2 linked regions of the Cricetulus griseus genome follow. The protein of the gene in region 1 interacts with the protein of each later gene in a pairwise test. Links are inferred from orthologs where the notes say so. Each region holds a gene or a part of one and is shown on either strand. Other genes may lie near its edges.

Evidence for each region.
Region 2: the proteins of Ccdc57 (region 1) and protein SFI1 homolog interact in a two-hybrid assay, tested with the Homo sapiens proteins (2 studies listed by BioGRID). The two-hybrid records come from large-scale screens. The link is inferred for Cricetulus griseus from reciprocal best matches to the Homo sapiens genes CCDC57 and SFI1.

Annotation. Positions count from the first base shown.
Region 1 is NC_048600.1:133,351,970-133,367,537, reverse strand, and holds part of Ccdc57 (coiled-coil domain-containing protein 57), read left to right. Parts: intron 1-579; coding exon 580-705; intron 706-3,942; coding exon 3,943-4,043; intron 4,044-5,845; coding exon 5,846-6,019; intron 6,020-7,420; coding exon of another isoform or gene 7,421-7,438; exon of another isoform or gene 7,439-8,162; intron 8,163-10,278; coding exon 10,279-10,492; intron 10,493-14,954; exon of another isoform or gene 14,955-15,059; intron 15,060-15,275; coding exon 15,276-15,397; intron 15,398-15,568. UniProt on the Homo sapiens protein: Pleiotropic regulator of centriole duplication, mitosis, and ciliogenesis. Critical interface between centrosome and microtubule-mediated cellular processes. Centriole duplication protein required for recruitment of CEP63, CEP152, and PLK4 to the centrosome.
Region 2 is NW_023276807.1:101,721,794-101,735,075, reverse strand, and holds the start of protein SFI1 homolog, read right to left. Parts: upstream 6,928-13,282; 5' UTR 6,383-6,927; intron 304-6,382; 5' UTR 205-303; coding exon 182-204; intron 1-181. UniProt on the Homo sapiens protein: Plays a role in the dynamic structure of centrosome-associated contractile fibers via its interaction with CETN2.

The sequences.
Region 1 (15,568 bases):
AGGGGTATATGGTGGGCAGTGGGAGCAGGACAGGACAGGACAGGGAGAGGACCCCTAGACAGACTTCTCATTCCAGCCTCACACCCTCTAGAGATCTCTGCAGAGCAGGACAGTCGCTTGTCCTCCAAGAGAGAAACTTAAGTTTAGTACTGAACAATGTTTCTCTGGCGACATAGAGGAAAAAGTTCAGGGCACATACCTGACGAACCTGGCAAGCCGTAAGCCTAGGCAGAATGAGGCCAGGCATCAAGAGGAGCCTCCTGCAGTGGATCTGAGCTGGCAGCCCCACCTATGTCTTGTTCCTAGCAGGCTGCATGGCTGCTTCTAAAACCTGATCCCTGATGTGGAGTTGTTTCATCCATGCACAAAGCCTATGGGAGGCAGACAAGTTCTCACTCGGGGTCCCAGAACCTTCCTGTAAGATAACGGAAGCTAGGCTGAGCTGTGAAGGTGGATCCTGAGCGTTGAGGAGAGAGATCAGGGCAGAGGAGAGCCTTCGAGCCTGAAGCCTGGCATAGCAGGAGAAAGGGGTCTAAGTGTGCCAGTGAGTGTATGTTGTGTTCCCTGGGGTTTTGGCAGATCATTTTCTGGCTCTCGAAGCAGAAATTCAAAACCTAAAGCATAAACTTGAAGTCCTGGAAGAGCAGCGACAAGGTGTCAGAGAGCCAGTGAAGACATCCTTGCCCACTGATGATCCACACCCTGGTGAGAACCCCTGGCTATCTGTCCCAGTCCCAGTATGCCCTGTCCCAGTAACACTGACTATGAGAAAATTAAGATGCAGTCCCTGAGGCAAGTCTTCCAAATGCATGCATAACTCCACAGTGTTCATCGCCATCAGACACTCTGTCTCCAGAACCAGGAGTCCCCTGGAAGTCCCTAGGGTTAGGTGGGAGTTCTGTTTCCTCGTGTAAGTAGAATTATGTGCATTTGTCTGTTGTCTTTTGGCCTAAATTGTGTTTTAGTGGACAATGCCCGACTTCACAGTGCTGTGCCATTCACCCTCCGTTAGCAGTTTGCAGGACAGCCCTTCAATGTCATAATCTTTCTTCCTGGTTAGCATCCTCGAGGCTGTGTGGCACACCCTGTCACAGTGTGAACTTGCAGTCTCCAGTGCATTGGTGAGCATGAACATCTTTCCTGGGCTTCTGGAATCCTCATCTGCCCTGGCTGTCATGGTGAATGTATTAGTTACTTTTCTGTTCATGAATTAGGCAACTTACAGAAGGACACATTTATTGTGACTTGCAGTCACAAGAGGGTTAGAGTCTATAAAGACAGGGCTAAGGCAACAGACAGGCATGGCAACTGGAAAAGGGTACTGAGAACTTACATCTCGAACCCCAGCACAAAGCAGATGGAGGGTGAACTGAAAATGGTGTGGTGTTTTTGGCCTCCAGCCACATGCCTCCTCCAACGAGGCCATATCTCCCAAACCTGCCTAAACAGTGCCACTGACTGGGGATCAAGTGTTTGAGCATCTGAGCCTGTGAGGGACATTGTCATCCAGACCTCTACAGTGAGATACTCCAGACCAGCATCTGAGCCTGTGAGGGACATTGTCATTCAGACCTCTACAGTGAGATACTCCAGACCAGCCTAAAAAAGAAAGGTTGGTGGCCACGTGTGGCCTCTGAGAGACCCTGGAGTTCTGAGCAGCAATCAACTGTCAAGTCCCAGACTTTTGTCCCTGGGCTCCTCAGGGCTTTCCACAGATTTCTATCCACAGGCCCTGCCTAGGAGTGTTCTGCCCTTGGTGCAGAGCTGATGTTGGGAGTGGGGCAGGAGCACAGAAGACAGGCACCTTTCCTGGAACAGGCTTGCCTTGGGCCTTCTTTCCATTCTTCAGTGGGAAGCAGTGTGTGCGTGTGTGTGGTGCAGTGTGCTCCCCCCTCGTACCTGAGCAGGGGAAGGATGGGAACTCATGTGGGTCATCCCAGGGCCCCCGTCCCTCGCCAGAGCCTTCTTTGTGCCAGGTTGTCATTAGTGAGAAAACAGGGTGGGATGCAGTCTCTGCTCTGTCACACCATCCTTTCCTGGGAAGGGCCCAGAAACTGGTGCGGCTTCCTGATGGCTGCTGCACCTGGCTTGCCAGGGCTTCATGGAGAACTGCCAGATTTGTGGTCAGAAGTAAGATGGGCTTGTCATTTCATTTCCTTTTTGTAATGATCAGGTCACAGTTTGGGGCCAGGGTTACTCTGGCCTTAGAGCTATGAGTGTTCAGACAATTAAACATTTGTAGAATTCTTCTCTGAAATCCCCAGGGCCCAGAATTTTTCTTTGGGAAGGTTTGAAGTTTAATTTATTTATTTGTTGTTAAGGGGCTGTTTATATACATTGTTTTATTTTTTTGTTTTTTGTTTTTGTTGTTGTTGTTGTTGAGACAGGGTCTCTCTGTGTGGCCCTGGCTGACCTGGAACTCACTTTGTAGACCAGGCTGGCCTCACACCCAGATCCGCCTGCCTCTGCCTCCTGAGAGCTGGCACTAAAGGTGAGCGCCGTCACCGCATGGCCATATTTTCTTTTTATGTATGCTTGTTACATTATACTAAGATATTATCCATCTCCCCGAGTTTTCACACCTTTGGGGTGAAGTTTCTGATCCTATCGGTTTTGCTCGTTTGCTTCTTTGAGATGGTGGTGACCCTCCAGCCTCAGCTTCCTGAGTCTTAAATGTTGGGAAACATCTCCCCCATGCATCATAGCACAGTTTTTGTTTTAGTTCTCTTTTATTCTTTTTTTTTTTTTTTCTTTTTAAGAGACAGAGTTTCTCTGTGTAACAGCTTTGGCTGTCCTGGAACTCGATCTGTAGACCAGGCTGGTCTCGAACCCAGAAATCTGCCCACTTTCGGCCTCCTGAGTGCTGGGATTAAAGGCGTGTGCCACCATGCCTGTCATCTTTGCTTCTTTCTTGATATCATACTCTAGAGTGTAGAGTTATTTATTTCTTCACTTACTACCTTTACAAAAGCCAATCATTGGTTTTGTTTGTTAGTTTCTGTTTCCTCAGTATTTAATGTTAATTTTATTCTATCCTTCCTTCTAGATTCACACACTGATCTTTTATTTCTAAGATATGTACCTAATGCTATAAATGTCCTTTTTCTTTTTTTATACAGTGCTAGAATGGAACCTCGTGCCTGGCACACAGCGACCAGCTCTCTGCCTCTGAGCTCTAGCCATAGCCAGTTTAGGTTTTAGTGGGGATTTTTGTTTTTTGGTTTTTTTGTATTGTTTTGTTTTTACATGTATGGGTGTTTTGCCTACATGTGTGCCTGGTGACTGCAGAGGCTTAAAAGGGTGTCAGATTCTCTGGAACTGAAATTACAGATGATTGTGAACTGCCACGAGGGTGCTGGGAACCAAACCCTAGTCCTCTGGAAGAACAGAAAGTACTCTTTTTTTTTTTTCTTTTGGTTTTTTTGAGACAGAGGATAATGCCTCCCTTGGAAAATCACCTGCTGGCCTTGAACTCACCCTGCAGACTCCTGAGTAACTGGGATTTACAGTTGTGAGCCACCAGGCCTAGGTGCTGTGAGTTCCCTTGGAAGGATAGCTTTACATACATTCCTTAAAGTTGTTTTTACCATTCTGCTCAAAATAACTTGGACTATCAAGTGTCACTTCTTCTTTGCCCCAGGTGCTATGTGAGCATCATTTTTTTTCTTAATTTCCAAATAAATGTATTTAAGTGGGAAAACTGATCTGACATGGTAAGGCTGGGTTTCATCCTATAGTCCTGCTCTCTCTTCATAAGATTGCACTAAGTAGTGCATCTCTGATCTTTCTAGGGACCCAATCCTTTGATTCAGGGATGGACATATTTACCTGGAGGTCAGTTGGAAGCTTCAGTAGGCCTCCATGGGGAAGAAGGCTCAACTCCCCGGGGAGACTGTTTTTGTTTCTGAGGTCTGAGCTGAGAGCAACTGTTCTTATCTGCAGGGGCAGCTGTGACAGACCAGGCATGCATTGCATTAGCACTCAGAAAACTCGGAGACAGAGTACATCTCTTGAACTTGCTGGTGACACAGCTCAAAAAGAAGGTGAGATTAGCCCTTAACACTTAAGGTTGTGCAAGCAATCCTACTGAAGAACCGGTCCAGATGAGAGGTGCCAGGTGTGACCTCACTGACCTTGGGTGTTTTGGGTGTCTTCCCAACTTCTCTTTTCTTCAGAACAAAGGACTGTGCTGTGCAGTAGCTGGTTTATCTCATGTGTGGCTATGAATTATTCACAGGGAAGCCTGATATGGTAGGTGTCTGTAGTTCCAGCGCTCAGGAGGTAGTCAGGAGGATCAGGAATTCCAGGTCATCCATGGCTACAGACAGAGTTGGAGGCCAGCCTGAGACACATGAGACCCTTTCTCAAAACAGCAGCAACAACAACAAATGCACACACACATACACACCTACTCACACATGCACACATACATTTACACACACATTTCAATGCTGTAGACAAGTAATAAGAATTTAACTTAAAGCATTTTAATTTCTCTTTGATAACTAAAGACAGTTGGAATAAACTGGGTAAAATATTTACCTCCAGTCAGGTATGATGGTGCATGCCATTAATCGTAGCACTTGGGAGGTGGCGACAGGCAGATCTCTGTGAGTTTGAGGTCAGCCTGATCTACACCAGTTAAGTTCCACACCAGTCAAGGCTACATAATGAGATGCTGTCTAAATAAAAACAGGTTTACCTTCAAGTGTTTTCATTTTTTATTTAACAGTGTCTGATCACCTAATGGTCCCTTTGGTATATACAAATTAGTCACCAAAGTCTCTGGAGTAGAAGCATTCTTTTTTGTGTTGTTGTTTTTGTTTTTTTGGTTTTTTGTTTTTCGAGACAGGGTTTCTCTGTGGCTTTGGAGGCTGTCCATGAACTAGTTCCTGTAGATCAGGCTGGTCTCGAACTCACACAGATCTGCCTGCCTCTGCCTCCTGAGTGCTGGGACTAAAGGCGTGCACCACTACCGCCCAGCTCTTAGAAGCATTCTTTTAATGCCCTTCACCTAGACTGGGAAGCCAGACTACAAAGAAGTGTATTCCCCATCTGCCTAGTTCTCCTCCTACCTGGACCTATGGCCTGTAACTTCTCTTTCTGAGTTTCATTTCTGCCACAGCCACTTCTCCCACTGTCATTTATTTTTTTGAAGCATAGGTTCTCTTGTAGCCCAAACTGGCCTCACACTTGCTGAGAATGACCTTGAATCTCTGATCTTTCTGCCTCTATTTCCCGTGTGATGTTGGCATCTGAGCCCAGGGCTTCATGCACGCCAGGCAAGCACTCTGTCCACTGAAGTACGTTCCCAGCCCGTCACTCCCTTTTGCTGCCTCCCCCTCAAGATCACTTCCCTCTTATCTCCTTCTGCAAACATCACCACTCCCATTTTTTGGTCTTTTGAAATGGTCTCACTACATAACCCTGGCTGTCCTGGAACTCGCTTTATAGACCAGGCTGGCCTTGAACTCTCAGGGATCCACTTACCTTTACCTCCCAAGTGCTGGGATTAAAGGTATGGGCCACCTTGCCTGGCCTGTCATCCACCCTTTGGATAGAAAGGACTTCCTAGTCACCAGCAGTGTTCTAGAGGCAGTTGCATCTTCCTGGGAGCTAGGGCTCAGGATAGAGTTGTAACCTACTTTCATTCACAAATTCTCCCCAGTAAGCCTTCATGTCCAGATGGATTGCACAGAAGTGAAACACACCCTGTAGAGCCAGAGAAGGAACTAGCCATTGGCCTTGCTCCGCCCCTGCACCTCATACTCCTGTCCTTCCTGGGACAGTCCCCCCCCCCCCCCCCGACCTCTGCCTAACATTGCCTTCTGAACTGGTTGCCTAGCTGTGGCAGAAGCCCCTGGAGCCGGTCACTGTCCAGCATGAGCTCCCCGGTGAAGTGGACCAGGTGCACCTGGAGGTTGTGGAGCTGCAGAAGCAGGTGGCTGAGCTGAGGAAGCATGTCAAGGTGGCCGGGCCCCGAGGAGAGCCTGCATACACAGAGCAGCTGCAGAGAGAGGTGGGTGCTGGGCAGGCATGAATTTCCTCCCACCCTAGCCTGTAACATGCTTGCTGGCACGTGTTTGGGTTCCCGATCTGTGAGGCCAGATGTTGGTGTCCAGAGGTGACACCCCAGACACCTCCTCTTTTTACCCACGGTTTTCCTCTGTGAGCTCACACCTCTAGTTCTTTTTTTTGGCTGGCTGTACTATTGCTGGAATGGAGCCCATGCCCTCTTTGATTGAAAAAGTCTTCCTTAGGAAACACACTGTAGAGTATGCATATAGACAGGCCTGGGCTGACAGCTAAGAAGGCTCTATGCACAGACCCAACCTGCCTGTGAGAGAAGAGGCCACAGAGCACTCAACATCTGGCCAACACTATGGCCAGGGCTGAGACATGGTCAGCTGAATGTCCACCAAACCCTGCGACAGAGTCCTTGCTTCCCACTGAAGGCCCCAGTGGAACCATGGATAGGAAGGGCGACAGCCCTGTTCCCCTGCTGTGTCGCCGGGGCTCTGTGAGTCCTGCCGGAACCTGGGGTGATGTGTACTGACTTACAGTGACCTTCTGGCCCTGCACTGACCTGCTGTGATCTCCAGCGAGTGACCGGTGATATGACTCCCTGCCAATTGACTTGCAGTGACAATAGTGACTTATGGTCACCTTTGGCTATCTGTTCTGACCTATAATGGCTCATGGCCACCTGTGGTTACCAATGGTGACCTGTTAATCACCAGAGGTCATAGGCATTCAGCTGAAAAGTTGAAGATAGTATGTATCCTTGTGGCCCCATATTACATGTACAGGAGCATAGCAGATAGCCTCTGGTATGGTCTGTGTCTAAGAACAAGCAGAAAAAGAAACAGAACAGGGTTGGGGGCTGAGGGAGCCCGAGGTTCTAGCAAAAGACTGAACTGGCCAACATTGAAGTAATGAGCAGTACTCGTTCCCAAGGGTTCTTGCACCCAGCCCTCCCCAGGCCCTCAGACCTCCCCACAATCCAGCAGTCCAGGGGGAACAGGTAGGTCAGCACTAAATATACACACTAAATTTTAAATAGTGAGAGACTGGGTTAAAGCGGTAGACCCAGACCTTAGCAGTCGCATATGTAAAACACAATTTTCAGGTATCTCTGTTCCTGTTGGGTCTTGGTATCTATGATTTTGGTACACTGTGAGGTCATGGCTGGCAACCACTGCCCAGCAGCATGTCCCCTACCTGAACAAAGTGTTAGGTATGCAGGAGAGGCCAGGAAGTCCGTGCTTCCAAGGGAAGCTAGAGCCATGTAGTGATATGTAGAGAAATGGTTGAGACACACACTTGCCCATCCCCACTGTCCTGAGGGCCTTGCAGCCGCCAGCACCCATGTCCAAAGGTAGCTCTAGAATCTCTCGCTCTCTTCCTTTAACAATGCCAGTTCCACATGGATGTATGAGGAGGGTACAGATAGCAGCTGTGCGGGACTCCACCTGACCATCAAAGCCAGGAAAGACTGCAATCCATCTTCATAGGAAGTCCTAACGTGATCTGGTTCAAGTGACAGACACGTGAAGACAGGGAGGCCAGAAAGATGCTGCTGCCAAGCGTGAGGCCCCAAGCTCCATCTCTGGGACCTACATGGTAAAAGGAGAGAACCAACTTTACAGCTCATCCTCCACAATGTGCACACCATGACACGCACAGCAGCCTATCCGGACAGACAGCTGTAACACAAATGACTTAAAACAAGAAAATGTGAAGTGACTCCCCCACAGAACATTAGTGAGTAGACGAGACAGACAAGGCAGTTGAATGTAGGTGTGGAGCTTGAGGTAGATGCTTGCTGAGAGCCAAGGTACCCTAGCCTCCGTCACAGCGCTCCTCCCCCACCCAGTCGACCTTGATTGCAAGGTGAAAAAGTTCTTTCATTGTCGAAACCTAAGGACACCAGCTTGACCAACGTCAGCACCAGGACACTAGCATCTGTGCCTAAGTGGAACATACCCAAGACTCACTTTTGGGGTCCCACCAAAGCACAAAACCTGAACCTAAGGAAGAGGTGATCTCAGACAGAACCAGTGGAAGGACATCTACGGATTAGCCCCTCTGGACACCTCAAATGTCAGTGTCATAAAATAAAAGTGAAGCCTGGGGGCCGGGCGGTGGTAGCGCACACCTTTAATCCTAGCACTCAATTGGGAGGCAGAGGCAGGCGGATCTCTGTGAGTTCGAGACCAGCCTGGTCTACAAGAGCTAGTTCCAGGACAGCCTCCAAAGCCACAGGGAAACCCTGTCTCGAAAAACCAAAAAAAAAAAAAAAAAAAAAAAAAAAAAAGTGAAGCCTGGGAAATCTTCCAGCTATAGGCAAGGACACCTGCACATTCATACTCTGGGGGTCTTGGACCCTGGAAAGGGATCCAGCTTGGAGGGACGTGCTTGGGAGGCCAGGTGGGGTCACCAGGATCAGCAGTGTGCCACAGTCCTTGTGCAGGACTGCAGTGCCTACGTGGGAAGGCACACTGTCTCCCCGCCTCCCTCCCCCCACCCCCCCATGCTTCAGGAAGAGGCATGTGTACAGAGGTGGGCAGGGAGCGGGGCAATACCTTTCCCAAGGCAGAAGTCTGAGACAACCCCTCCAACTCACCTTTCAGCTTCTATCACAGGCTAGTCTTCAGCTGGCGGTGGTGGCACACACCTTTACCTCCAGCACTGTGGAGGCAGAGGCAGGTGGATCTCTGTGAGTTCAAGGCCAGCCTGGTCTACAGAGATAGATCCAGGACAGCCTTTGAAGTGATAGGAATCTCCTACTAGGCTAAGGTAGAACCTCCCTCCAGGTCATCCCACCTCTCTTAAGACCTGAGTTCCTTTGTATTCTAAGGCCCCTTGAGATGGGGAATGCTTGGGCCTCTAGTGTAGTAAGGCCAACACTCTCTGGGAGTATTGTGTACTTGCCTGTCTTGGTCCTGTAGGTCCATAGGACCTCCTCTAACCCAGAGTTCCTGCCTCTGCTGTGTCTTTCTGTGAGCCCTTCAATCCCTTGTGGCCTGCGGCATATGCCAGAAGCAGCTGGATGCAGTCACCTACAGGTGCAATCACCCACATTCTCCAGGCTACCTAGGGAACAGTAGCACCCAGAGGGCACAAGCACATGCCAGCTCTGGCAAGGACCAGGAAGCCAGAGCAGGCCATGCAGGGTGTTCCAGGGCATGGAGCTCTAGCACCCAGAATAATAGCAGTTGCCATGGCTTCTCAAAACTGTCAAGAAGAGGTGGGCCATGCTGGAGCCTGGTCTTCCCGATGCCCCTGTTCTCATCACATTGTGACTGGATTTCTGCAGTGTGTCCAGGCTGGGCTGAGTGAGGGGCACATGGAGCTTCCAAGGGGTTCATATCTGTTTAACCCTGGCATAGTGCACCTCCTCCCAGCAGCCTTTGCTTTCTCCTGTACTTTCTCAGGGAAGGGAGGCCTAACAGGCAGGTGGTGAAGGGGTGAGCCAGAGGGGAGATGAAAGAAGGGGAGAAGGAGGAGCATGCCAGCCCTTGGGCAATGGGGAAGGACATTAGGAAGGTCCAGTCAACACAGGCCAGAGGCAGCAGAGTGGGGCCCACAGCAGTGAGAAGTGGCTTGGCCACAGGGCCCTGTGACCACACAGGGCTCAGGCTTTCCAGGCCTAGGTTACTGCTAGAGGCTGATGGGAGGCCTTTCTTTCTTCTAGAGCAAAGCCAAATGCAGATGAGTGTAAATTCTCTTAGTCATCTCCACTTGAAAGACACAAAGCTCAGCAGGGACTCCTGGGGTAAAAGCTCTGGGCTTGCAGGGCGCAGGAGTAGGGAGGCTGAGAACTAGGCAACTCTCTCCCATCCCTGGGAGAGAAGTAGCTCACTGAAGTCTGCGTGCTGTTCCCAACCCCCAACTCAGTTAAAGCATGGGGCATAGTCACTCTTTTACCCCCAACTCAGTTAAAGCATGGGGCATAGTCACTCTTTCTTTTTCCCCCAACTCAGTTAAAGCATGGGACATAGTCACTCTTTCTTTTTCCCCCAACTCAGTTAAAGCATGGGGCATAGTCACTCTTTCTTTTCCCCCCAACTCAGTTAAAGCATGGGGCATAGTCACTCTTTCTTTTAGAAGGATGTCACCAGTGAGCCCCCTAGCCGTGGTGATTCTGAGAGGGCAAGTGAGCAGCTTGGTGGACCACATACCAAGCTTACCCCCCCCCCCAACTCCCGGCGTGGTCTCCAGCAGGCTCTCTGGAGTATCCCTCAGGACTGTGTCTTGGTTGGGTTTTGTGTACAGGGCCTGACTGACTGGAGACCCATGGTCACAATGGACCAGACAGAGTTCACTAGTCTCCCCCAGGAAGGGGCACAGCCTCCACAGACCCTATCTGTGCCACATCTGCAAAAGAAACTGAAAGATGCAGCTAGGAAAATACGCAGCCTCAGCCTAGAGAGGGAGCAGCTTCTGGAAATGGGGAACAGACTCCGAGCAGAGCTGGGCCATCCTAAAGGTAGGCACCTGGGAAAGGTGGTGGGCCAGGCCACAGTTGGGGTCGTGCCAATGGGGAGGGAAGGTGGTGCCATGGTTCTGCCTGCCACAGGAGGCCAAAAGAAAGGAGCTTCCTGGCTTGCTTGCCACAAGCCTGGGGCCAGAAGGAGAGCTACAGGCTGGCTTCACAGAGGCCACTGGTGGTGGAATGGAGCCAACCAGAGGCCTTAGGCACAGAGCAGGGCTTCATCTCAGCACTGGGTGTCCCTTGACCTACTGCTCTGGCCACATCTGGAAGAATCAGCCATGGAGCAGCTGAGGTCCTGTGAGGCAAGCAACAGGGCAGTTCCAGACCAGCCCACTGTGGGTGTCCCCAGATAGTACAGCATTGTCTATAGATACTCAGTTGATTTCCTACAAGAAACAAGTATTATTTGAGTCCCAGGATTTTTTGTTTGTTTGTTTGTTTGTTTGTTTGTTTGTTTGCTTTAAATGTAAAACAGATGGGTATAGTGACTTGTGCTTGTAATCCCAGCGCCCAAGAGGCTGAGACAGAAGGATCACAAAGTCCAGGCCAGCCTGGACTATGGTGTAAGACCCTCTCTTAAAATCAAATTAGGGCTAGATCTCAGTGCCCACTGCAGGACTGAGACCAAGACCAGCCAAGGCTCACAGCCCTGGGAATGGGAATATAAATATATAAATATAGGGATCCCCAAATAGTCCCTGTTACTACAGGCCAGGCAAAGCGGATATCCATTTGGGCTACCTTTTCCCTCTGTTTAATGCTGTCTCTCCCCCAAATCAGAGCCCAGCAATAGTCCCTGCCTCTTAAAATGCTGCCTCTTACCTTCCGTAACATCTGCCTTTGTTTATTTGTTTGAAGATTTGTTTTTATGTGCATTAGTGTTTTACCTACAAGTATTTCTGTGTGAGGGTGTCAGATCCCCTGGACCTGGAGTTACAGTTAGTTGTAAGCTGCCTTGTGGGTGCTGGGAATTGAACCTGGGCCCTCTGGAAGAGCAACCAGTGCTCTTAACCAATGAGCCTGGGTTTTGTTTTTTGAGACAAGGTCTCATATAGCTCAAGTTGGCCTCAAAAGAACTCCCTGTGTAGTCAAAAACAACTTGAGCTTCTGAGCCTCCTGCCTCCGCCTCCCAGGTACTGATGGGTTGCCAGCTTGAACTAACACACTCAATTTTCTGTTGGCTGAGGATCAAACCCAGGGCTTCACACATGCTAGGCAAGCATTGCACTAAGATACATCCCTAGACCTGGTACCTGAAGTTTTAATCCAGCACAAGGGAGACTAATGCAGGAACATTGTGAGTTCAAGACCAGACTGTGCTACAGAGTGAGACCCTTATATAAAAAACTAAATCAAGGGATTGGAGCTATGGCTCCACATTTAAGAGCACTTGTTGCTCTTGCAGAGAGCCTGGGTTTGGTTCTAGCCCCCACTTGGTGTCTTACAACTATCTATGACTTCAGTTCTGGGATATCCAACACCCTCTTCTGACCCCATAAGCACCAGGTATGCGTGTGCACACATGCAGGCAAACCACTCATACACATAAAAATAAAATAAAAAAATAAATCTAGGTTTAAAAAAAAAAACAAGAATTACAAGAAAACAAAAATGAGCATCTGGGGCTAATCCACATTTGGGTGACGATGCCAGCGCCTCTTTGTATATGCTCACTTTTTCCAGTTCACCACGTGCACGCCATGCATGTTTGCACTCAGCTCACACCCTCATCCATAGACTTCCAGGTACATGGTGTGCACACAGCCTGCTTTTCCTCCAACAGAGCACGCTGTGCCTCTGGAGTCATTAGCAAGCTGATTCCTAGAAGAGAGGGGACAATGGCAGCATTGATTTCTTCCTCCTTCCGGTGGCCTGTTGGTGGCGTCTGCCAGCAGCTTAGTGTCTGTCTCCCACAGACTGCTCTCTGCCATCCTCTATGAAGCTATGAAGTGCTGGAAGATGCTCACAGCAGAGGATTAGAGTCCCCTTTGACCACAGCCCCACAAAAAGTAAATGTTCACTAGAAGATCGCGATAAGGAAAACCTCTCATTGTTTATTATGTTGTTTACTTCTGGTTTGTATGCCAAGTATCAAACCCAGGGCCTTATGCATGCCGGTCACGTGCTCTACCACTGAGCTGCATCCCTCCCCAGCCTTGCCGGTGAGAATTTTTTTTTTAAAGATTTATTTATTTATTATGTATACAGTGTTCTGTCTGCCTGCACGACAGAAGAGGGTACCAGATCTCATTACAGATGGTTGTGAGCCACCATGTGGTTGCTGGGAATTGAACTCAGGACCTCTGGAAGAGCAGCCAGAGCTCTTAACCTCTGAGCCATCTCTCCAGCCCCGCCGATGAGAATTTGATTCATCATGAATGGTTTGGGGAAAACCTACCTTGCTAGTGGCCTATGGCGTCCTATGATACCTGCTTATGATCCCAGCACTCAGAAGGCCCAGGCAGGAAGATCATGAGTTCAAGACCAGCCACAATCAAAAGTAAAATAGAAGACGACTGGGGCCCCAATTAGCCTCCCCTGTGGTTACAGTTGCTGTGGTTCTGCTCTCCAGAGCTCGTGTACACAAGCTGTCAGGTCTGTGTGCTTAGTAATCACAGTGGCACACGCATCCAGAAGCCTACTGCCAAAATACATTAATTGTGAAGGAATAGCTTTAGCAGGAAGTTCACCTGATGAACCGATTGTATGAACTGTTATAACCCTGCTGCTGTGCATCTCTGGGCCCTGGCAGCAGCAGTCGTCTTCACTTGGCACCCTCAGACCCCACTAATGGCCCCTGCACCTCCTTTGGAGGAGACCTGAATTGCATTTCACCCTCTGAGGCTTTTCTTTTAGCTGTTCCTTTAGCAAAAACTTGTGGGCAAAGCCTTCATCAGATCTCCATGTCTGAAAGGTGCCCTGGTGTAGCAGCTGCCTAGAGCCACGGCTGACCTGGAGCTAGAACTCTCAGTTTGCTTTTGTTTTTGAGACAGGCAGGGTCTCACTGTGTAGCCCAGGCTGGCCTCAGCCCCCCATGTGCTAGAATCACAGATATGTAAGCCAAACCTGGTTTCTACAGTCTGATTTTAGAGAAGTTTCTCACGTCTCCTAAACATATAGTCAGCTACCAGTCTGGTCTTGGCTCCTTGGTGAAGGGCATGTTCTACAGGATACATTGCTTTGTTTTGATCTTTTTGTTTGTTTGTTTTTTGTTTTTCCGAGCCAGGGTTTCTCTTTATTACTTTGGAGCCTGTCCTGGAACTTGCTCCATAGACCAGGCTGGCTTTAAACTCACAGCATGGGGAAACAAGGCCCCAGGCCACTCAGGCCTTGTCCTTAAACGGCATCCATGCCTCTTAGCAAAGGCCGTGAACGCTGCAGCTATAAACATAAGTGACCCTGCTATAGTGGTGCACGCCTTTAGCCCCAGCACTCAGGAGGCAGAGGCAGGCGGATCTCTGAGTTCGAGACCAGCCTGATCTACACAGAGAAAGCTCCAGGTAGCCAGGGATGCATAGTGAGGCCCCCTCTCATGTCAGTCATCACCATCTTTATGTCAGGCCAGGTGTCATAGCTCGTGGGAGACTAAGACAGGAGACAGATAACTGTGGGCCATCCTGGCCTACAGAGCAAGACCTGTTTCAAAACAAAATAAAACAAAAAAAGCTCAAAGATGTTTAGGTTAACTTAGAAAAACAAGTCAAATTAAATGAATAAATCAAATTATTCATCTGATTTCACTGTCATTTCTCAATGAAAGAACATAGAATCATTATGGCTATAACTTCTAAGTTTATACACATAAATTTTCCCTCTTTTGTTAAGGTTTTTTATTTTATGCATATGAGTGTTAAAGTTGCATGTGTATCTATGTACCATATTCGTGCCTGGTACTTAAAGAGGCCAAAAGAGGGTGTTGGAAGCACCAAAACTAGAGTTATACATGGTTTTGAGACACTGTGTGGGTGCTGGAACTGAACACAGGTTCTTTTTAAGAGCAACAAGTGTTCCAAATAGCTGAGCTGTCTCTCTTCAGCTCTCCCCCCCCACACACACCTTTTTAAAGGGCTTTGCTGTGTCATCCAGGCTGGCCTCATCTTCAGCACCCACAGCATCAGGGACAAGTGCGAGTGCGCGTGCTTGAGCGGAGGCCCTTCCGTATGTTGTGAATGTTTCTCTTATTGGTTGATGTGTAAAGCTATTTCCGCCGATGGACAGGAAGGATGTAGCAGGTAGGAAGTATAGTCTGCCAGACTATAATTGTGAGAAGAGGAACTCAGGGGGACGCCATGTAGCTGTCAAGAGAGCAAGAGATGCAGGTATCACCAGTAAGCCAAGACCATGTGGAGATACACAGATTAATAGAAATGAGTTAATAATTAAGAGAGAGCTAGACAATAAGAAGCCTGAGCCATTGGCCAGACAGTTTATAATTAATATAAGCCTCCATCCACAGACCCCTGCACAGGCACATGTGTTCCTTGATGCACTGCCCAGAGGCCTGTTTGAGTGACCGTTAGCAAAATACCTTCCTTCCACTGCTCTGTGCAGCTGTCCGAAGGTTAGTGTTCCGGGTTGGGATTAGGCTGGAAATTACACTGTGTGTCCCTGAGCTCTGCTAGGGGATGGTGTGTCACAATTCACACATGACCTCTGCTCCCAAGTTCTTTGGAGTAAAGGTTGCTTTGGTTTTGAAAAGTAGTCTGCTGTCCTTTGTGTTCAAGAAATCCTGTCTGACACACACAGGGAACCAACCCTTTCCTCATCCCATTTCCAGGGAAACTGACTCCTTGCACACTTCCTCCCACCTCTGAGTCCCGGGACCCCCGTGAGAGGCCTGAGACACCTCTAGACCCTGGCCTACCTTTGAAACAGTTGCAGCCCCACTCAACAACTCAGGTAACTTCTTCATCTAAGAGATCTGTTAACACTTCCCTAAGTATGGGTTTTCATTAGACAACTACAGAAGATAGCAGAAGAGCCTCTCGGTGCTGGTGGCATCACACTCTTCCTACTCCTTTGCTTTTTATTTGCTTTGGCTTTTGGAGACAGAGTCACACTATGTAGCCC
Region 2 (13,282 bases), on another chromosome or scaffold:
CCCTTCCCAAGTGCTGGGATTAAAGGTGTTCACCACCACCACCACCAGCAGCAGCTGCTGAAATGTCATACTTTTTACCAAACATTATATTTCAACATGAGCCAGGTGCGGTGGCTTATGTTCATGATTGCTGTGGTTGAATGGTAACTTTAGCTGTCATTTTTGCTGTTCCATCACATACCTGGAGACAGTTTTCTTCTCCATTCTCTGCTGAACCCTTTTGATGGAAAGTCAACCACTGGTTGGTATGATTCTCTGTGATCAGATAATTGAGAACCAAAGTCTTCTATCTTCCTCTTATAACTGCAAGAAAGAGATAAAAGAGAGTAAGTTGCTTGCAAACTCCCAGAGGTTACACTTCTAAATACCTGCCTTCCCACTCTGAGTTCCCTGCCCCTCTACTTCTTCATTCTACTAACTTAGCATAGAAAGTCTCTTACCATCCTTAGGGTTGTTAGTGCTGTGATGAAACACCATGACCAAAGCAACTTGAGGAAGAAATGGTTTAGTTGGCTTACACTTCCTTATCATAGTTCATCATTGAAGGAAGTCAGGACAGGAATTCAAACAGGGCAGGAACATGGAGACATGAGCTGATGCAAAGGCCATGGAGGGGTGCTGGTTACTGGCTGGCTCATAATTGCTTGCTCAGCCCAATTTTTTTTTTAAAGATTTGTCTATTTATTATGTATACAACATTCTGCTTCCATGTATATCTACACACCAGAAGAGGACACCAGATCTCACAATGGATGGTTGTGAGCCACCATGTGGTTGCTGGGGATTGAACTCAGGACCTCTGGAAGAGCAGTCAGTGCTCTTAACCTCTGAGCCATCTCTCCAGCCCTTTTTTTGGTTTTTCAAGACAGGGTTTCTCTGTGGCTTTGGAGGCTGTCCTGGAACTAGCTCAAGAGCAGGTCTTGAACTCACAGCTGCTCAGCCCACTTTCTATAGAACCCAGGATCACCTTGACAGGGATAGCACTACACACAATGGGCTAGGCCTCCCTAATCAGAAACTAATTATGAAAATGTCCTATAGCTAGGCAGTGGTGGTACATGCCTTTAATCCCAGCACTTAGGAAGAAGAGGCAAGTGGATTTCTATGAGTTTGAGGCCAGGCTGGTCTACATAGTTCCAAGGCAGCCAGGGATGTTACACAGAGAAACCCTGTCTCAAAAATAAAAAGAAAGGGGGGTGAGGGGAGGGAGAGGGAGAGGAGACTTACATGTGAAACAAGCCTGTTCCCTAACTTGAATTAATAATAAAAAAGGGGGGGAAAGAAAAAAAAGGGAAAAGAAAAAAATAAAAAGAAAGGAAGGAAGGAAGGGAAAGAAGGAAGGAAGTAAAGAAAGAAAAAAAGAAAGAGGAAGAAAGAAAGAACGAAATTAAATGTCATATAGATGGATCTTATTAAGGCATTTTCTCAATTGAGGTTCCCTCTCAGGTTAACATTAGCTTGTATCAGCTGACATAAATATAGCCAAGACACTTATTCTTTCTAATTTATATTATTAAAAAGTTACTTCTAGGGCTGGAGAGATGGCTCAGAGGTTAAGAGCACTCACTGACTACTCTTCCAGAGGTCCTGAGTTCAATTCCCAGCAACTACATGGTGGCTCACAACCATCTGTAATGTAGTCAGGGATACATGATTCTTTTTAAAAAAAAAAAAAAAAAAAAAAAGTTACTTCTAGGGGCTGAAGAGCACTGGCTGATCTTCCAGAGGTCCTGAGTTAAAGTTCCAGCAACCACATGGTGGCTCTCAACCATATATAGTGGGTTCTGATGCCCTCTTCTGGCATAAAGGTGTACATGCAGATAGAGCATGAGCACACATAAAAAAATCTTAAAAAAAAGTAAAGTTACTTCTGAGTCAGATTGTGGCGGCACATGCCTTTAATCCTAGCACTCGGGAGGCAAAGACAGGCAGATCTCTGTGAGTTCAAGGCCAGCCTGGTCTACAGAGCAAGTTCCAGGACAGGCTCCAAAGCTACACAGAGAACCCCTATCACAAAAAGAAAAATTAAAAAAGAAAGGAAGGAAGGAAGGAAGGAAGAAAGGAAAGTTGTCCTCTACACTTGATATTCTTACAGAGAACCTGGGTTTGGTTCTTACCACCCACATAGTAGCTAACACCTGTAATTCCTGTTTTCAGGGGATTTGATATCCTATTCTGCCTTCTGAGAGCACCAGGAACACATGTAGTGCAGTCATACAAACATACAGGCAAAATGCTCCTACACACGAAAAAAGAAAATAAATCTTGCTGGGTGTTGGTGGCCCACGCCTTTAATCCCAGCACTCGGGAGCCAGAGGCAGGTGGATCTCTGTGAGTTCAAGGCCAGCCTGGTCTCCAGAGTGAGTGCCAGGATAGGCTCCAAAGCTACACAGAGAAACCCTGTCTCAAAAAACCAAAAAAAAAAAAAAAAAAAAAAAAAAAAAAAGCCCTCTAACCTTCACATAAATACACAGATAGATAGACAGACAGACAGACAGACAGACAGACAGACACACACACACACACACACACACACACACAAATAATGAAACAAAAACCTACCACCACATAAAAAAAAAAATAAAAAAAAAACCTACCACCACAAGTATTTGCAATTCGTTTTTGGTAGCGGTTAAATGCATAAATACATGTTTGATAGTGAATGCATCAAATCCAACAAAGCTCCACAGCTTCCTTTCCAAATGGCTGGCTACTCTAAATGTTTAGAAGTGAACTGTCTTTGAAGCTGGCTACTTTTGGTGTAATGTTTTCTAAATTCCTTTCTTGACAGTAAAGTTCTATTGTTGTTATTGTTACTGTTTTTTAAAACAGGGTCTCACTATGTGGTCCTGACTGGCATGGAACTGACTATGTAGACCAGGCTGGCCTCAAACCACATAGATGCAGCTGCTTCTGCCTCCTGACTGCTTGAAACAGCATGAGTCATCACACCTGGCCATAATACAATTAAAAAAAAAAAAAAAAGCAGCCGGAAGTGGTGGCACATGCCTTTAGTCCCAGCACTCAGGAGACAGAGGCAGGCAGATCTCTGTGAGTTCGAGGTCAGCCTGGTCTTCAAAGAAAGTCCCAGGACAGTCTCCAAACCTACAGAGAAACCCTGTCTCGAAAAAAACAAACAAACAAACAAAAAAAAAGAATAAGAAGAAGCAAGATATAACAGGCTCATTCTTCCAGCCCCAACAATGTTCTAGTATCTTTAATTTCCCTTGATATCTGTCATTAGCAGTCAAGAGAACTTAGTGTTCCCCCAAATTAATTTTTCTTTTTTTTTAATTTTTTCTTTTATGTCTATAAGTGTTCTGCATGTATCCCTGCAGGCCAGAGGAGGGCATCAGATCCTATTATAGATGGTTGTGAGCCACCATGTGGTTGCTGGGAATTGAACTCAGACCCTCTGGAGGAGCAGCCAGTGCTCTTAACCTCTGAGCCATCTCTCCAGCCCCAGATTAATTTTTCAGTTATCAATGTTACTATAAGAATCTTCATGCAGTTTTAAACTTTTTTTTAATTTTTAAAAATTACATTTATTGTTGGAGACATGGCTCAGTAGTTAAGAACACTAGCTAGTCTTCCAGGGGTCCTGAGTTCAGTTCCCAGCAACCACTTGATGGCTCACAACCATTTGTAATTAGATGTAGTGCCCTCATCTGGCCTGCAGGTATACATACAGGCAAAACACTGTATATATGATAAATAAATAAACCTTTTTTAAAAATTACATTTATTTGTTTGTTTGTGTCTAGAGGCTAGGGGACACCAAGGATTTCTGGCAATTCCAAAAGCTAAGAGAAAATTATAGAAGAGATCTTCCCTAACCATCAGAGAGAGGATGACCCTTAACTTCATATTTCTGATCTCCAGAGTTGTGAGGGAATAAACGTATTATTGTTTGAAGCTACCAACTTGTCGGCAGATGGTTACAAAGCCACAGGAAACAATCACAAGCAATGAGACCAAGAGGTAAGACAATAATACACAATGTAGCTAAGCTAATGGGTGAATGTGACTTGCACTGAGTGACTGTGATTTGCAAAACTCCAGAAACATAAAGTCATCATCACGATTAAGACCATAATGAAAACAAGTAACAAGTGAACTATAAAAGATATTATTCATGCTGGGCGTTGGTGGCGCACGCCTTTAATCCCAGCACTCGGAAGCAGAGGCAGGTGGATCTCTGTGAGTTCGAGACCAGCCTGGTCTACAAGAGCAAGTGCCAGGATAGGCTCCAAAGCCGCAGAGAAACCCTGTCTCGAAAAACCAAAAAAAAAAAAGAGATATTATTCATGCCAGGCAAACTGTTTACTGATATCAAATCTACATTTAGGGCTGGAGATGGTTTTTATAGTGCTATCCTTTCATGAAAAGAATTCTAGATTTAATCATCAGCAGTGAAAAACAGAGCATGGTACCACATACCTGTAACCCCAGAGACAGGAGCAGCTCTTCAGGCTTTCCTCTTTTCTTAACATTTATTTACAAAAACAAAAATAAAAAACAAAAAACAAAAACAAACAGAAAAACGGGTGGTGATGGCACTTGGCTTTTATCCCAGCACTCATAGAAACCCTGTCTCTAAAAACAAAAGATTTATTTATTCTGTGTATATTAGTGGAAGAGGGTGTCAGATCCCCTGGAACTGGAGTTACAGGCAATTGTGAGCCACCGTGTGCATGCTGAGAACTGAACCTGAGTCCTCTACTAGAAAAATAAGTGCTCTTAAGTGTTGGGCCCTCTCTCCAGCCCCCAAATCACTGAAAGTTTGAGGCCAATCAGTCTATGTAGCAAAACCCTGTCTCAAAACAAATAAGATGTCCGGAACCTCACAGGTGAAATTTAAAAGTACTGGAAAGGCTAGGAGATAGGTTTATTCTCCACAGGGACATGAATTTGTTTCTAAGTTGAAATACACATAATATTAATTACAAAGACAGCCCAAGATAAAACAAGATTGCTAGATATTGGCTCACAGTTGCACATGCAGACTGACCTCATGAGATGGTAACAAAGGACAAACTGATCCTGAAATTCCACTACTAGTCATACACCAAAGAAAACTGAAATCATGTCCATACACAAGCTTATACAAAAATGTTCAGGGTCAAGCATGTTGACACACATCCCCATTATTAGCACTTGGGAGGCAGAGGCAGGAAGATCTCTGAATTCAAGACCAGCTTATGATTGATTCTAAGACAGCCAGGACTACATAGTGAGACCCTGTATCAGAAAAAAATTAAAAATTAAAAAAATAAAAATGCAATACTACTACATGCTTAAATACAGATAAGTCTTAACATCATACAGGGGGCTGGAGAGATGGCTCAGTGGTTAAGATCACTGACTGCTCTTCCAGAGGTCCTGCCTTCAATTCCCAGCAACCACATGGTGGCCCACAACCATCTATGAGATCTGGTCCCCTCTTCTGGCATTCAGCAAACTGGTAGTAGCCCTGGGGCAAACTATTTCCCACAGTTAACCAATTTCACATATATTTTTCTTTTGTTTTGTTTCAAGACATGGTTTCTCTGTGTAGCCCGTGTGTAGCTCTGGCTGTCCTGGAACTTGCTCGGTAGACCAGTCTGGTCTCGAACTCACAGAGATCCACCTGCCTCTGCCTCCCGAGTTCTGGGACTAATAGAGTGCACAACCACCATGCTGCGGTATTTTTAAAATTTTTAACTTAATCATTTTTATGTGTATGTATGTTTTGTCTGTGTACCACATATGTGTAGTGCCTAAGGCACACGGGCTACAATTAAGATGACATTTATAGCTAAGGTTCTATACTTTCTCTCAGCACTTTCATTGAACGACCAACTTTAACACAGCCACCTCATCAGGTATTTGTTGTCATTTTCCAGGGGGATGCTCAAGGTCATCGGCTAACAGGTGGCACGGGTGCCAGTGGCATTCAAGCCTCTATACACCTTCGGGAACTATACCAGAAGAGAATCCGTGGTACAAATGCAACGCGGGTTCAGCTCTCGACTTGGTCACTTGAGATCAGTGTACAAAAAGAGTCCGTCACCCAGGCACACCCCTGAATCCAATCTGGATCTAGGTAAGCCAATAAACTTTGTGCAGGCGGAAGATCACCCAGAAGAGCTCTCCACCAGGGGAGGAAGATGCACAGGCCCTGGAAAAGCAGCACGAGGGCAGCCAGGGCAAGGAGGGCACATTCCACGCACGCTCTGCTCGCTTTTCCACGCACAGACCAAAGCCTTGTGGATAGGCACCATTTCCTACACTTCTACAGGAGAAAGAGCCGTCACAGCGCCCAGCTCCCCCGCGCTCTGCTGGCTTTAAAGCAGGAGGACCAGCCATTCAAAGGCTGGGGGTGCTAGGCATGGCCTCGTACCTGACGGAGCCGACTCCTCAGAGGACGCCGGGAAGAGGTTGCAGTGAAGGCCAGCGGCCAGGGCTTTCGCGCCCAGCGCCGGCGTCCCCGCCCCACCGTCTCCACGGCGACGAGGCCCTGGCCGGAAGCTGCTCTGTGGAGTTTTGCGCGCGCTACCTCCTGGGCAACAGAGGCCTCTGGTTTCTCTCTGAGCTCTGCTTCCCACCATTCTCTTGGCCGGAAGTATGGGCGCTTCTTGGTTACTGGTCTCCAGTAACGCCTGCACGGAATGGCGAGGCACCGACAGGTGTCTGGCATGGGCGTGGTGGTGCACGTCGGTAATCTCCTCATCAGATCCGGCAATTGGTGGTGTATCTTTGAAGAGAAAAGACTAAGAGATTTCATATTAAAAACAAGGGAAACTATTTGGTGGGTGTGTGAAGATTAGAACCAAGGGGTGGGAGACATGGCTCAGCGGTTAGGAGCACTTTTTGCTCATCCAGATGCCCAGCACTCTCGGTGGCTTATAAAAAGGCGCTTTTTCTGCTGAGCCGTGGTGGTGCACGTCTTTAATTCTACCCGGGAGGCGAGTTCGAGGCCAGCCTGGTCTCCAGGGCAAGTGCCAGCACAGAGAAACCCTGTCTCGAAAAATATAAATAAATAAATAAATAAATAAATAAATAAATAAATAGAAGGCGTGCTCTCTTTTGACCCACATGCAGGCAAAACACTCATACTGAAATATTTTTAAAAGATTAAACTCACATAATACGGGGTTGTTTTTTTTTTTTTTGCCCTTTTTACAAATGGTGATTTTTGTAGTTCAAAATATTTTAAAATCATTTATTGATGGCAACCCTCTGTGAGAGGCTGAGCCAGGAGGAATGCACGCCTTTAATCCCAGCACTCGGCAGGCAGAGGCAGGTGGATCTCTCTGAGTTCGAGGCCAGCCTGGTCTCCAGAGAAAGTGCCAGGACAGGCTCCAAAGCTACACAGAGAAACCCTATCTCGAAAAAAAAACAAAAAAAAAAAAAAAAGAAGAAGAAAAAAATCAGTTTCAGTACAGCCTGGGCTTGAGTGAGACTATATGAATAACAAGCAAATAAATAGTATTTAAATACAGTTGACTGAAGTGGCTCAGCAGGTAAAGGCACCTGTCACTAAGCCTTAGGACCTTAGCTCAATCCCCAGGACTTGTATAGCAGAAAAGAACTTGCTGTCAAAAGTAATCCTTTGACCTCTAGCCATGAGCCATGCACACACACATACACACACACACACACACACACACACACACACACACACACGTAAATAAAGATAATAGGAACATAAATCCGGCCTGCCAGTGCATGCCTGTACTCCCTAGCTATTCAGGAAGCCTAGCCAGGAAAAATTACAAATTTTAAGACCACTGTCTGAAATTCGGGTTTTTTTGTTTGTTTTGGTTTTTTGTTTTGTTTTGTTTTTTTTCGAGACAGGATTTCTCTGTGGCTTTGGAGGCTGTCCTGGAACTAGCTCTTGTAGACCAGGCTGGTCTCGAACTCTCAGAGATCCGCCTGCCTCTGCCTGCCGAGTGCTGGGATTAAAGGCATGTGTCACCAGTGCCTGGCCACTGTCTGAAATTTGTAAAGACCTGTTTCAAAAATAAAACAACTTGGCTAGATATGGTGGCACACACCTTTAATCCCAATACTGAAGAGGCAACAGGTGAAGGTGGGTTCTAAGCTAACCCAGTCTACATAGAGAATTCCAGGCAACCCAAGACTAAAAAGCAAGACTTTGTTTCAAAAGAACCAACAAAGGGGCTGGAGAGACGGCTTTTTGGTTAAAAACACTGACTGTTCTTCTAGAGGACCTAGGTTCAATTCCTATCACCTATATGGCAGCTCCCCTGGAACTGTCTATAATTCCAGTTCCAGGGGTCAAACAACAAAGTGTTTTTTAGAAAAAGAAAGGCAACAAAATAAAGTTACATTTTAGAGAAAACCAACCTTTTAACTCACCGGAAGTTACACCTTGAAGTACTGCTAAAGTAGTTAGTTTTTTTTTTTTTTTTTTTTTTTTTGGTTTTAGGAGACAGGGTTTCTCTGTGTAGCTTTAAAGCCTGTTCTGGAACTCACTCTGTATACCAGGCTGGCCTTGAACTCACAGAGATCTGCCTGCCTCTGCCTCCCCCAGTGCTGGGATCAAAGGTGGGCACCACCAAAGCCTGACCTCAGTTTTTGTTGTTTTGTTTTTGAGACAGGGGTTTCTCTGTGCTGAGATTAAAGGCAGGCGTGCGCCACCAACACCCGGCTTCAGTACCTGTCTTTTTTAAGATTTTATTTATTTATTATGTATACAACATTCTGCTTCCGTGTACATCTGCACACCAGAAGAGGGCACCAGATCTTATAACGGATGGTTGGGAGCCACCATGTGGTTGCTGGGAATTGAACTCAGGACCTCTGGAAGAGCAGTCAATGCTCTTAAGCGCTGAGCCATCTCTCCAGCCCCAGTACCTGTCTTTTAATATGTTTTTATGTGCATGTGCCTGGTAGGGGAAATTTTGTGTGAGTGCAGGTGCCCTGAAAATACAAGGCATTGGATACCCTGGAGCTGGAGCTATATAGGTGGTTACAAGCTGCTTAAAGTGGGTGCTGGGAATGGAATCTGAGTCATGTGCAAGAGCGGTAAGTGCTGAGCAACCTCTTCAGCCCCTAAGCCTACCCTCTGAGTTTGAGCTGATTTGCTGATGCTTTCTTCCCATTGTGTGCATTCATCACCCTCAGCTGTGACAAATGACAAACTGAAGCATCAGGCAGTATTTTTGTGTGAGTTACAGAAAGCCATTGGTCCTTTCAGGAAGAAGATACAGTGTATTTTACTTTTCTTTTCTATTGCTGAGATAACAGTGGGGAGACCAGACCTACCCAAGACTATCTTAGAGGCTATGATGAAAGGATAAAGAAAATTTAGTTCTGTGTCCTTGTCCAGGAACATACTTGCAAGGCCTGTCTGATGCCTCTTAAGAGTCAAGGCTGTGGTTTCTGATGATTCAACTCTTCTCCCTGGACTGTGGTTATCAGTCCTGAGTTGTGTCAGAGGTATCCTATGTTGTCTTTGCCAACATGTGTGACTTAGCTCTCTGCTGGACCTTAGCCATTCCTCCCAATCCCCATAAATAGTATATATGATGCTGTGCTACTTAATAAACTTCCTTGGCATAAATTATCAGTTCATAGCCTGGCCTTGGTGGCACACGCCTTTAATTCCAGCAGTTGAAAGGCAGAGGCAGGCAGATCTCTGTGAGTTCAAGGCCAGCCTGGTCTACAGAGCTAGTTCCAGGACAACCTCCAAAGCCACAGAGAAAACCCTGTCTCAAAAAAAACAAAATAAATCAATCATCAGCTCATTCAAGACCTCCTGGTTCCAGCTATTGCTTTTGTCTTCATTATTTCACATCCCTGGTCCTCTTACTCAACAGTTTGTTGCTTGTGCTCCTTATTCCTGGATTAAAACATCACATCCAGCTGGGTGGTGGTGGCACATGCCTTTAATCCCAGTACTTGGGAGGCAGAGGCAGGTGGATCTCTTCGAGTTCAAGGCCAGCCTGATCTACAATTCAAGTTCCAGATCCTGTCTCAAAAACAAACAAAGCCCCCAAAACCAAAAACCACCAGATCCAAGACAACTTATAGATGGGTTTATTGGGGTTTACAGTGCTAGAGGGATAGGAGATCATCGTGTGGGGAGCAAAGTGGCAGGCAGCAAGCAGGCATGGATGGCACTGGGACAGCAGCTGAGAGTTCACATCTTGATCTGCATGCAGGAGCCAGAGAGGGCACACTGGAAGGTGCCAGTCTTTTTAATCCTCAAACCTGGCCCAGTGACACACCTCTTCCAACAAGGCCACACCTCCTAATCCTTCCCAACCAGCCCCACCAACACGGGATGAGCCTTTGTGGTCCATTCTCATTCAAACCACCACATATAGCAATAATAACTAGTACAGACTTCTTGGTGTCTATCACTTCATGAAGTATTTTTCTTGTATAAAACCAAAGTTGTAATTAGGCCTAGGGTAAATATTTATTTATTTATTTATCTTTGGTTTTTTCCAGACAGGGTTTCTCTGTATTGCTTTGGAGACTATCCTGGAACTCGCTCTGTAGACCAGGCTGGCCTCGAACTCACAGAGATCCCTGTGCCTCTGCCTCCCTAGCGTTGGGATTAAAGGCATGAGCCACCAACGCCCAGTTTGGGGTAAATATCTTTTTGTTTGTTTGTTTTCTGAGACAAGGTTTCTCTGTGGCTTTGGAGGCTGTCCTGTAACTAGCTCTTATAGACCAGGCTGGTCTCGAACTCACAGAGATCCACCTGCCTCTGCCTCCCGAGTGCTGGGATTAAAGGCGTGTGCCACCAACGCCCGGCTGGGGTAAATATCTTTAATCCCAGGACTCAGGAAGCAGTAGTGGCACTCTCCCAGCACTTGGGAGGCAGGCAGATCTCTGGGAGGACAGCCAAAGTGGTTACACAGAGAAACCCTGTCTCAAAAAAATAGCAACAAAGAAACAGGCTTAGCAAGTGCCTAACTTTTTCACAGAGGTGGAAGTTTACAGGTGCCCTTCCTTAGCAAAATTTTACCTTTAATCCTAAATTGTAATTGTCTTCTTTTTTACAAACTAAAACAAAGCCTTTAAAACAGGCTGGACGTGGACCTGGGTGGCTGTGGTACACACCTTTAATCCCAGTACTCGGGAGGCAGAGACAGGTGGATCTCTGTGAGTTCCAGGCCAGCCTGGTCTACAGAGCGAGTTCCAGGACAACTTCCTAAAGCAATACAGAGAAACCCTGTCTCATAAAAAAGAGTAAGCCTAGGGAAAGATGGCTCAGTGGTTAAGAGCATTGGCTACTCTTCCAGAGGTCCAGAGTTCAATTCCCAGCAACCACATGGCGGCTCACCATCTCCTGAACTCTTCAAGCATGCAGGCAGAACACTGTATAGTTGTATATAATAAATACAAAACAAACAACTTAGGTGATTGATTCCAGGCACCAACCATGATAGCAACGATTCCTTAAGCACTGACATATGTGGTTTGTTGTACTTTTTAACACAAGTTGACACTTCTCCCATATAAAAGAAGTCAAGTCTTGTCCTCCTGAACATGATACAGTTTTTGTGAGTCCTTTTATAAGGAACAGAAAGTGTGATATAGCAAAAGTAACAATGCCTTCAAGGCCAGGTTAGGAAAAAAGGCAATGCAAAGCTGGCATGTGTGAGCACCTTCCTAGCATTTGCAAGGTCCTGGATTCAAGTGTCAGCATGGAAGAAAACAAAACAAAAACACACTGCAAATATCTAGACATCCATCCTTGAAATCTGAAGCCAAAGCCATATTAAGAGGCCATGATAGGGAGGTACAGAGATGGCTCAGCAGTTAAGAACACTTGTTCTTCTAGAGGACCCAAGTTCAGTTCCTAGCACCCACATGGTTGCTCAAAACCACTTGTAACTCCAGTTCCAGGGGATCTGATGCCCTCCTCTGGCCTCTGAGGGCACCATGCATACATGTGGTGCACATACATAATAAAAAGGCCATTTAGGGGTGGGAGAGATTACCCAGAAGTTCTTGCAGAGGACTGGGGTGCAGCTCCTAGCATCCACATGTTGACTCCATCTGCAACTCCAGTTCAAGTTGAGTCACCTAACTTTTAAGGGTTCTGGGTATATACATACATGAAACACACTCAAATATACACATAAAATACACATTTTTAAAGAATAAAAAGGATAATTAAAATAAAAAGGACATGTGTGTTTCAAAGCTCCAGTAGCCACAGCTGACAGCACCTTCAGTTCCCAAGCACGTGAATAGTGAATAAAGGGTCCTTTAAGGGGGTTTTAGTTCCTGGCCTTTAGGCCATCATCAGGTGATGCTGAATGAATCAAGAGCAGCTGATGGTACCCATCCAATTTATAAAGTTGGGAGCCAAATACTGGCTTAATCCTTTGGTTTTGGGTAGGGCTTTTTGTTGTTTTTGTTTTTTGTGGTTGCTAGGGATCAAACTGGGGACCTTGCACATATTAAGTTAGTACTCTACAACTGAGCTATATCCTCAGTCCCTATTTTTTTTTCTTATTTGCTTATTTTTATGTTCATTAAATTTTATGTGGATTAGTGGTTTACCTGTATGTATATAGTGCACTACAAGTATGCCTAGTGTCTTCGGAGGCCAGAAGGTATCTCTCCTGGAACTGGAGTTACAAAAGGAGTGAAGCATGTTCATGCTTGAAATCAACCCTGATCCTCAGCAAGAGCAGCCTATGCTCTTAAATGCTGGGCCATTTCTCCAGGCCCTGCTTTTTATTTTTTGAGACAGTCTCACTATGTAGCCCTGGCTAGCCTAGTACTATGTAGACCATACTATCCTGCAGCTCATAGATATATCTGTTTCCTGAATGTTGCAATTACAGTCTTGTGCCACCATGTCCAGCCCTAGTCCCAACTCATTTTAATGTCACATCTAATTACTTCTACAAAACAGAGAAGTAGGAACTTTGATTGCTTTCTAACAGGTGAAACCAATGTTTAGGATGGTGAAATACACTCAGATTTCACTAAATGAAAGTGTCACTTGGTAACTTTGGGAAAATAATTTATTGGGCTAGGAATGTTGCTCAGTTTTTAAGAGTACTTTCCGCTGGGTGGTGGTGGCACATGCCTTTAATCCCAGCACTCAGGAGGCAGAGGCAGGCGGATCTCTGTGAGTTTGAGACCAGCCTGGTGTACAAAGGCTAGTTCCAGGACAGCCTCCAAAGCCACAGAGAAGCCCTGTCTCAAAAAACAAAAACAAAACAAAACAAAAGTACTTTCCTAGCATTGACTAGGATTCTGAAAACTGAATAACTCAGGTAAAGTCTTGGCACCAAGCATG